Linked DNA regions of Canis lupus familiaris. The protein of the gene in region 3 interacts with the protein of the main gene of each other region in a pairwise test. Links are inferred from orthologs where the notes say so. Each region holds a gene or a part of one and is shown on either strand. Other genes may lie near its edges.

Region 1 (2,975 bases), on a different chromosome or scaffold from region 3:
TCTTCATATAGACTGTCGCAAATAACTACCTAGTTGTGTCCCTTAGTGGTGAGGGAAAAGGGAGGAGACGAAAGGTCTTTGGGTTTTTCTCTAGAGTGGATCCAGCTCCACCCCAGCCTGGCGCTCCTGCAAAACACAGCACACACACAGCCACATCACCCTGTAAGCACGCCTGTGACCCCACACAGGCCTGACAGTCCCTCCCGGCCCCCAGAGTGTCAACTGCCACCATCCACCCAGGGCATCTGCATCCTGAATGGCTCACCCTGTGGGAGTCCTGGCTTCACTGGTGCATGTCAGACACAAGCCAGCCTCTGCCAGATGTGCTCACTCTGGTGAGTGCAGACAGGTGCAGTCTGTCTCCAATCTGATCACGTCTCCCCCTGGCCTAAAGCCCTCTAGCCACCAGCGTGGCCCGAACAAGGCCCCTCCCACCACAGTCTGTCCTCACATCCCACCCCTCTCACTCTCCAGCACACGGTAGATGCTCAATAAACCACAGGCCAAACTTTGAGGTCTGTTTGTGTTTAATCAGACAATATGCAAAGTATTTACAACCAATTCTGGATCCCTCCCCCCCAAGCCTGGGCCGTGAAATCTGGGACCCCCAGGCCCTGCCCAGAGCTGAGGGTCCCCTAGGCCTCTGCATAGTCATCTGAAATCTACAAAACACTGTTTATTTAAAAAAACAAAACAAAACAGTATTAGGACACCTTATACAAAGGGCCCCGGGCAGCTGGAAGGGGGACTTGAGAGCACGCCGGGGTCAGCGAGCCCAGATCCGACTGGGACGGACAGCAGACTTGCGTAATAAACATGTATGAAAGGAAAAGTTGAAATTTCATAGGCAGGCACCGCTTGGCCTCCTTTCCCACTGGCAGGGCCTGGCTGGCTCGAGCACCCCTGGCAGCAGGAATGTTATTGCTATGATGGGGGGCTGTGGGTGAAATGTACAACATGTCTCGGGGACAGAGCAGGGGAGCATTTTTACATGTTAAATATGGACATACATGGAAGAACACACATGTGCACACACACACAACGCACATACACACACATGGGGCCCTTGGCAAGATGCCCACAAACCGTCAGCCACCCCTTTTAAGATGGGCACACCAAGGCCCAGGGAGGAGCCACCACATACCCTAAGGCTAAACACCAGAGCTAGGGCCAGAGAGCCTCCGGATGCCCCAGGCGGGGCTCACCAAGTGATGCCAGGCCACAGGGTCTGGAGCAGAGCAGTTGCAGAGGCCACGGCCACACATGAAGGCAGACACTGCAGCCGAGGGAGGAAGCAGGGGCCACCCGAGGTCACACCGCCAGCACAGCCAGGCTTGGCACATAGCAGCGGACACTCATCCTCTCCCACCCCAGCATTAGGTACTCCTTTCCCCGCTCATGAGTTAAGGGGTGCCAACTTGGGGAGGAGGGCAGGCGCCAGGCATTGAAATGACACAGGACAAACTGGGGTTCCTCCTGAGGCCAGGACCGCCCAACCACTTAGATCTTCTATTTCTGTTCAATTGCGTCCGGAGCCTGGGAGCTCACTCTCTTTCATGCTGGCTGGCCCCAAGGATGAGAACCACTCACATTCTGTTCGACATCTTCCCAACGCCTGCATGGTCACCCCTCATTCCTAGCCCCGCCCTCCGTCCCCCTCCACTCTCTCCCTGCACAGCAGCCCCGCCAGGCAGGCAGTGGCAGCAGGACTCTCTCTGCTATCTCTAATTCAGCCTCAGGCCCCTGGTCCCCTAGGCTGCCCTGGGCTGTCCACGCTGCCTCCAAGGACAATCTTGTTGGTTCCTGAGGAAGACAGAGGGAGCACCGGGTTCCGAACCCACCTCAACCCTGAACTTCTCTGTGGTCTTGGGCAAGTCACATCCCCTCTCTGGACTGTTTCCCCAGGGGTACTATGAGGACAAGGAATTGGTGATCTCTCAGGGTCCGTGGGGTCTAAGAACAGGACTTGAGGGGGGTGCCCACCCTACCCACCACCATGAAGTCAAGCTACACCTCAGCTGCACAGCCGGGGAGCCGTGGCAGAGGGGCCTGGAGCCAGCAGCTTCCACCAACAGGTGTTTCAGAAATGGACGGCAAGGGGTAGGGTGGCGGGCAGGCCGTGGGCCAGGGGCCCATCACTCCTCTTTGGAAAGGCTCTTCGGCCAGCTCTGGAGGCAGACCTGGGATGACATGGAAGTGGGAAGGAGCCAATGTGGGGAGCAGCCCGTCCTTCTTCCTGCTTCCTCCTGCTGAGCAGCACAGAGCTCCAGAAGGGAAGGCTGGGGGGACACATGTGGCCGGAGCAGGAACCGGGATGCAGTCACTGTGCCAGCCTTGGACCCTGTCCCCGAGGCCACCCCAGGCCCCAAGCCCTTCCATGCCACAAAAGAGGGAGGGGCCTCATCACTGACAATTCAGCCCCACAGAGGGGATCAATGCAGGCAGGCGGAGGGAGGCAAGATCCTACATCAGGGGCCACCCAGCCCAGGATCCAAGCCGAGAAGCCAGTCTGGCCCTGTAGCTTGCTCCCTATAGGTTCTCTCCCGGCTGGTACTGGGGCTCGGTGGATGTGAAGTAGTCCTCCAGGAAGGCCTGCAGGTACTCAAAGGTGGGTCGTTCCTCAGGCTCCTTCCGCCAGCACTGGCACATGAGGTCGTGCAGGGACTCGGGACACTCAGGCGGGCAGGGCATCCGGTAGCCCCGTTCCACCTGGTCAAGCACCTCACGGTTGACCATCCCTGTGGGTAGAGGGAAGCATGAGGAGACTGGCTCTTGTGAGGAAAGCCAGGTGGGGGGAGGATGATGAGGAGAGCAGAGATGACCTCTCGCCTAGGGCAGGGGGCTGTGATCACGGGTAAGTCCCCTCCCATGGCAGAGAGCCCTGACCAGAGAGCCCCTAAGATGGGATACTCAACCTCTTTATTATACAGATGGGGAAACTGAGCCTGGGAAGGGGTGTGGTTTGCCCTAGATCA
Region 2 (3,518 bases), on a different chromosome or scaffold from region 3:
AATTGAAAACAATCTACTGGGGCACCTGGGTGGCTCAATTGGTTAAGTGGCTGGCTTTGGCTCAGGTCATGATCTCAGGGTCCTGGGATCAGCCGGGAGTTGGGCTCCCGACTCAGTGGGAAGTCTGCTTCTCCCTTTCCCTCCGCCCCTCCCTGCCATTTTTGTGTGCTTGCACATGCATGCATGCTCTCTCTTTCTCAAATAAAATCTTTAAAAAAGAAAAAGAAAAACAATCTATTGAATGTGTTCACTATTAACGTGGGCAAATTCAGGTCAAATAAAATTGACTTACACTGGAATCCCTCTAAAAATTAAAAAAAAAAAGTTCCTTCTTGAAAAGACTTAAGAAATATTAAGACTCCTTATCCATTTAAAGTGCTTCTTTCCAAATTTAAAAATTCTTTCCAAATTTAAAAAACAAATTTGAAGTGTGCTTGATATTACCTTTTGGAGCAGGTAATAACTTCCCCTATATATTTTGTAAGGCCTTGATTTTTAAAAAGAATCTGTTTAAAGTATTTCTTGGATTGTATGAACTACTAATAGTTCTTACAACACCCAAGTGCATTGGGGAAAATTAAAGTAGTACAGAGAGTAAAAGAGAGCCAATTCATTTACTTAAAACTGGTTAGTTATCGCAGGAATAGCTGTTTATAGATTAGACACAAATAATTTCATATTCCCAGTTTACATACCAGATTTCCAACATTAAGCAAATACTAACCTTCACATTGCTAGGATATGGGCAAGGGAAAAAAAAGGATTTTTTTTTTTCCTCACTGGTGGTGTTAATAAAATTGGTTCTTCCAAAGGACAAAGCATCATAAAATATAGTTTTATTAATTATAACAAAAAGTGAATCATGTTATACAGAAAATATTAACTCTCAGTTTTTGGTACCACTTATTGATATCAACACTAAATTTTTTAAAAAGATTTTTTTGTTTATTTATGAGAGAGAGAGTGCACAAGCTGGAGGGAGGGGCAGAGAAAGGAGAAGCAGACTCTGCTGAGCAGGGAGTTTGACCCTGGGTTCAATCCCAGGAACCTGGGATAATGACCTGAGCTGGAGGCAGACACTTAACCAACTGAGCCACCCAGGCACCTTGACACTCAGCACTAAATTTAGTTTAATGTTTCTATTCACCTCTCAGGAAGTTATTCGGTGTTAAGATTAAAGAACAAGATCTAGAACCAAGTTTCCAGAATTAAGAAGCCATTCCTTAGTGTTTTGACCCTGAGTCAGTTATATAATCTCCCTGGACCTCAGTTTCCTCTTCTGTAAAATGATGATAATTATAGCACCTATATATCATAGAGCTTCTAAGGGATTAGATAAGTTAATGCATGTGTTATACTTAGGAACAAACTCTGGAAAATAGTGCTTAATTAAAGTTTGCTATTGACCATTGCCACAGAGTATATTCAAAATCATAGAAAACACAATTTCATGAGACATTTATATTTTGCTTTGAAAGTAAACTTGACCTAGAAGACTTATAGTAATTTGTTAGTGTAAAATGTTTTACCATTTCAGACTTTTCTGAATTAGTCATTTGTTAATTTCATTAAGCAAATGATATGCACAATTTTATTTTTTTATGAGTGTTTCACTTATTTAGAATTACCTGACTTAAATATTCCAATCCAGGTGGACAGTCTAATGGAGGTGGTGGTGCTGGCATCCATGGTACCCCTGCAGGTCCACCTGGCTGATTATACACTGGCTGGTGTTGGACAGGAAAGCCTACTGGGCCAGCACCTAAATAATCAGCTGGTGGAATTGAGTAGCCAGCCTGAGGGCCAGGATAGCCAGGCTGGGGGCCGGGATAGCCAGGCTGGGGGCCAGGATAGCCAGGCTGGGGGCCGGGATAGCCAACCTGAGGGCCAGGATAGCCAACCTGAGGGCCAGGATAGCCAACCTGAGGGCCAGGGTAGCCCATATGTCCTGGAGGCCCTGAAATATAAACAAGTAAAATAATTTGTAACTGCACAGAAAATTTGAAACATGAATTCTTTTGGGATTACTCCTAAAACTCTACAAACTAAAATTTCAACTCAGAAATCCTGTTTTTATGAAGCTTAAAGGTTGTGTTTTTATCTTTCAGCGATTTTTCAATGAAATATTTGTGGTTTCATATCCACTCCTATACGGCTTGGGGCTGGGAGTAGGATTGGCCCAAGCCTTATCCACCACTCAAAATTTTCAATTTTCAATTTTCAGTTGAAAATAGTCTTGAAAACTAGGAAAGTGACAGGAAATCAACAATGATCTAGAGTCACCTACATAAAGATTCTGGAATGCCCTAATAGAAAAGAGAGATGGCACGGAGTAAAAGGCCCAAAAAGGCTTGGAATCAGCATTTCTGAAACCAAAGTATTGTATAAAAATATGATAATTCTGGAACTGTAGGAAACAGTATCTCCTTTATGTATAGAACTAGGGGTGGTTTTGCCCCCTCAAAGAATATGTGGCAAAGTTTGGGTATATTTTTGGTTGTTTCAGCTGGAATGGAGGGTGATACTGGCATCTGGTAAACAGAGGTCAGTGATGCTGCTAAATACTTCCTGAAATGCTAGAATAGTACCCTGAAAAATAAAAAGAGTTATTCATCTCCAAATATTATAGTGCTGCCATTGAGAAACCTTGGCATAAAGGTAAAAGCATGTTGTTACTTCCAATATTGTCCAGATGCTTATCTGGGTGAACAATCAGCCTGAAATTTTCAGGCATGGTACATTCCTATCCTAAAACCTCCTACATGAAAAAATCATCCAGTATGATAGATTACAAATTTAAGTTTTATAATTTACAGCACTCTGAAAAATATAATTTGAGAACTAAGGAAGATAAAAAGTTACAATAGGCAATCTTAAGTATTTAAGAAGCACAGGAGAGGAAGAAATTTAATAAGCGTATATTCTGTATTCCATGTGAATTTGTGATTGCAATGGAACTTCATAAGCTTCCATGAGTAGTCCACAGAGTAGCAATCCCACAGGAATGGAATATAATTTCAAAGGAATGTGTTTCATAATATTTTAACAGGAAAGGCTATATAAAATTTAATACTTAGATTATGTAATTTATAAGTACTTAAAAAATCACTGAGGCAAAACACATACACCATTAAAAAGATTTAGAAGAGACTAAATCTCATACTAATATCTTTTAAATATAGTTTTTATAATTCATTCCTTCTTACAATAAATATTTACCAACATTCTACAATGTGACTGGCTCTGTTCTAGAATCAGAGGACACAGCTATCAACAGGCAACCTGCCCTCAGGAAGCTTACAGGCAACTTTTGGGAAAGGGAAAATAAATTCTTTGATTTAAAAGATTTCAGATTGAACTTATAGAGAAAATGCATGGTGGAGAGGGAAAGGTATCAATTCGTTACATTAGATAGAAAAAAAATTTCTGTTGAGATCTAAAATATGAGAACAGAAAAGCTCTGTGTAAAGATCCGGCAAGAAATGTCCAGGAGGAAAGAAAACCAAATGCAAAACTCT
Region 3 (4,105 bases):
CTCTGTAGTTCTCTGAAAGGTAAGCTGCATGTAGAAAATACGGCCTCCTCTTTTCATAGCACAAAGGAGAAAGGAAAAAGACATCATCTGACATATCTTTATTAGGAGTGCTTAACAATAACAGACTCCTAGCTATTCTCTAAATTGAATAATGCATTAAACAGTAAAGAATATGTCCTGCAAGAAAATCTAGATTTCAAAGCATGAGCACAGAAATGGAAAAACTCTGACATCAACACATAAATTGGGCACAGACCTCAACTCTTAATAAGGACAGTATTTTTTAACTTAAGTCACAATCACTCTATATTAGATTTTCAATGTCTCCAGATTGCCATTTTTAATTACTTTTCTGCTCCTCACTAATTAATCGTACGTAATTTCAGGTAACTTTTGTACTCTCAAATATAATAAAAGTATTTTTTAAATGCCTAGTTATATAAATACAATACATTCTATTAATATTACATAAATGACCAATGTTTCTTTTTAAAAACCCTGTATTCAGTTGGTGATAATCCAGATGCACACCAGAACAAAAGACTTAGCCCACAATGGAATCCGAATGTGCTAAGAATGAAATCTATTAGCCCAATGGGAACCTAACAGTCCCATTTGCAAAATAGCTTTTCTTTGCCTCAATTCATTCCAAAGTATATAAGGAGTAAAACAAAAATACCACAACCTGACTCATCCCAACAAAAAGGGGGGTTGAGGGAGACTGGGATTCTCTTTTGCAAAAAGCATAGGAAGATTAATTATTTCTGGGTAAAAACATACTGAAGAACAGAACAGTAAAATTAGGGAACAGTTCAGTGATTTTTCAGGGGGTGAGGATGGGTGGGGGGGCTGATTACAAACACACAAAGGGGACTTTTGGGAGTGATGGCACTCTTCTAGGTCTTGACTGTAGAAGTGATTATATAAATGTTGCAACTGTCAGAATTCATAAAGGGTAACCTAAAGAGGCTAGGTTTTACTGTATATAAATTATATTGCCAGGAACCTGCCTTTTTAAAATGGCTATAATGTCCATTTCCACTAAATTATGAAGTGTAACATTCAAGTATACAGTTCTCAATGTTCTAGATGTAATTAGGAAAAAACTTACCAGTAAATGATTCAAGTTCAGCCTTCAGTGTTTTATATAATCATTACATATTTACAAGTATTATATAAAGTGGCTCAAAACATAAACTAAAATTATCAGATGTATTTTGCACCATTACTTGAATATAGATATATAGAAAACTGTAGTGTTTTACTCTTAAAAATGAACATTTCAATATCTATTAGATGTTAATTATGTTTTGAAGGGTTAAATTTACTACTAAATTTTACCTTTTCCATATTATAAGTAAACTGAGGAATAGAAAAGGTCATTAGATTCATTTGAGTCCCTCAGAACCACTATGAAATGTATTCTGTGTTTTTAATAGATTTCAGAGATTTTCAAGTCTTAAGAGTTACAGGAGACTGGCTGTTTTTGAAATAAGAATGTTTCAGTAATTCAACTGAAAAAAAGAAGATTGAATGTAAAATGGATCCTAAGATTATGCTTTAACACCTTACATTCTCCCTCTTCTTGAGTATATGCAGAAATATAGATTTTTCTGCAGAAAAAATAAAAGGCAAAGAAGAAGTGTCATAGTCAGAGAACACATACTTTTTTACAATACTTAACGGCAGAAACCTTTCTTTCCACATGTTCACTTAAGTAACGAATACCTTTCTCCACATATAATAGCCACTGTGAGTTCAGAAACTTAAAAGTAAAAATTCCCAATGGCATGTCCATGAAAATACTAAAAGTCTAGTAAGGCAAAAATCTTACCTCCAAAGGGTTGTGTACTACACCAAAGCACAAAGCTGCTTTTTTAAAAAGCTAGTAAAATTGAGTCAACCTGGTTTTCCTAAATAGAAATTCACTCAAACCCAAATTTTTTTTACAAAAAAATATTATTCCCTTGACTTAATTTTAGGCTTCCGAAATGAATCAGGCACGAATGGTAACACAAAGGGACAAGAGAAGAGCAGCTGGCTTCCTCTTCAGCAAATAAAACAGACCAGATCTTAGATCTTGCTCAGTTCACCCAGGACAGAAGCAAATCTGTTTTTTATATCACTGAGCAGTGGCACTTAATACATTTAAAACACCGGTCACCTGCTTGATCCACGTACACCTTCCCAGGCCCACAAAACTCAAGCATGAAGTCCTCGTTCAACTTTCCCACGCTCATCATTTCACCCTTTTTCGGGAAATCCATAGGAGGAAAGAAGAAAGAAAGAAAGAAAGAAAGAGAGAAAGAGAGAAAGAGAGAAAGAAAGAGAGAAAGAAAGAGAGAAAGAAAGAAAGAAAGAAAGAACGAAAAGAAAGAAAAAAAAGAGGAAAAGAAAGAAAGAAAAATAAAAGAAAGAAAAGAAAGAAAGAAAAAATCTAGAGTTTTTTTCTTTCAAAAAGACACGTATCAATCCGGAGTTTACAGGCACAAACTAATTAAATTAACTTGCCAGCGTCTTGAGTGAAAATACTTAGAGCGTGAAATTTCTGTTTCCTATAGTTTTCAAGACAAGTGGTTTCGGGCGGAGGCGGGGGTCTGTCATTGTTCTCAATATTGCTGCTTTCGCATCCTTGGCTTTCACACAGAGGAGCAGACAGTCCCACCTCGAGCCGGCCGGGGGGCCCTTACCTTGCAGGTGCACGGCGCCCAGGGGTCTCTGTCACGCGGGCCCGGCCTCTCCCGGAGCAGCCGCCCGCCGCGGGCCCCGCGGTCCCGGGGCCGGAGAGCGCGCCCACCGCGCGGCGCGGAGCCGGAGCGGAGCCGGAGCGGAGCCGGAGCCCGAGCGCAGCTGGATCGCCGCCCGCCGCCCGCCGCCGCCGCGGTCCCCCTCCGCGCTCCCGCCGCCCCCTCCCACCCACCGCAAGTTTCCCCGGCGGTCCCCGCCCCCTCGGCGCTTCGGGCTGCCTGGCTGCAGGGGCGCGAACCCGGTTTCAACAGGTCCAGGAGCCGGAGACGCTGCAAAGATCACCAACGACTTAACGAGGAGCCTCTCCTCCCTTTTAAAGACCCGGGGGCGGCGGAGAAAGCCTCCAAGAGCCCACGTGACCACCGAGCCGGCTGCCCAGAAATCTCGGGAGGACGCGGACTCCCCGTGTCTCGCCATCCACACTCACCTGGGCGGAGGGAGAAGCCCCGGGGAGCGAGCACTCGAGGCGCCCTTCCCGCCGGCCTGGGTTTGGGAGGTCTGGGGCGGGGCCTGAGAATGCGCATTTCCAACCCGGTGCAGGACCAAGCCCAAACGGATGCTGCCCGGTGGGGGGGCCACACTTTGAAGATTCACGTCCCTAGACCGTGCCCCACGTGGGTCTGTCAGTGGATGCTTCGGGGTCATTTAAATACAGAAGTCTGACTTTTTTTTTTTTTTTTAAGAATTTATTTACTCATGAGAGACACACAGAGAGAGAGGCAGAGACACAGGCAGAGGGAGAAGCAGGCTCCGTGCAGGGAACCCAACGTGGGACTCGATCCCGGGACCCCAGGATCACGCCCTGAGCGGAAGGCAGAGGCTCAACCACGGAAGGTGCCCCCAGAAATCTGACTCTTAAGAATCCAGTGGTGAAACTAGAGAGGCTTTGGGTTTTCTCAGTCCGGGGCCCAAGGGCAGGTTCGTGCCCCTGGAGAGGCCAAGCCACGAGGCCGTGGAGGTAGATGGCGGGTGCGGGTTCTGAGCGGCCGGCTGGGGAGGCCTTTCGCCTTAGAGCAAGGAGCCCAGGAACCTCCTCACTCACCGCTGCCAAAAGAGGCAGCTGGGGGGACATCTGCCTCTGCCGCTGGCGGCGCCCCTCTTCCCTCCGCAGGGCCTCCGTGGAGCTCCCTGCAGGCCTGAGCCCCCTGGTGGCAGCTCCAGTCCCCCAGGTCTGCGGAGTCCCCAAGCTCTCCTCGCCCACCCTGCAGCACAGCCCACAGCCTGAGGACTTTCCCTAGTCGTTAAGCAGCACCTGGCGTTAGGGCAGCCACTGGTGGCGAAAATCCAATGGTAAGTTGCATATGTCCCATAAGCCATTCTCAGACCCCAGTGCCACATTTGTGTCTAATTAATCATC

Evidence for each region.
Region 1: the proteins of ESR2 (region 3) and SRC interact in a two-hybrid assay, tested with the Homo sapiens proteins (2 studies listed by BioGRID). The link is inferred for Canis lupus familiaris from reciprocal best matches to the Homo sapiens genes ESR2 and SRC.
Region 2: the proteins of ESR2 (region 3) and PLSCR1 interact in binary tests that used the Homo sapiens proteins (3 or more experiments, as listed by UniProt). The link is inferred for Canis lupus familiaris from reciprocal best matches to the Homo sapiens genes ESR2 and PLSCR1.

Annotation. Positions count from the first base shown.
Region 1 is NC_049245.1:26,586,648-26,589,622, reverse strand, and holds the end of SRC (proto-oncogene tyrosine-protein kinase Src), read right to left. Parts: intron 2,739-2,975; coding exon 2,530-2,738; 3' UTR 510-2,529; downstream 1-509. UniProt on the Homo sapiens protein: Non-receptor protein tyrosine kinase which is activated following engagement of many different classes of cellular receptors including immune response receptors, integrins and other adhesion receptors, receptor protein tyrosine kinases, G protein-coupled receptors as well as cytokine receptors.
Region 2 is NC_049244.1:42,179,986-42,183,503, forward strand, and holds part of PLSCR1 (phospholipid scramblase 1), read right to left. Parts: intron 1,958-3,518; coding exon 1,629-1,957; intron 1-1,628. UniProt on the Homo sapiens protein: Catalyzes calcium-induced ATP-independent rapid bidirectional and non-specific movement of phospholipids (lipid scrambling or lipid flip-flop) between the inner and outer leaflet of the plasma membrane resulting in collapse of the phospholipid asymmetry which leads to phosphatidylserine externalization on the cell surface.
Region 3 is NC_049229.1:38,987,345-38,991,449, forward strand, and holds the start of ESR2 (estrogen receptor beta), read right to left. Parts: upstream 2,801-4,105; 5' UTR 2,691-2,800; intron 1-2,690.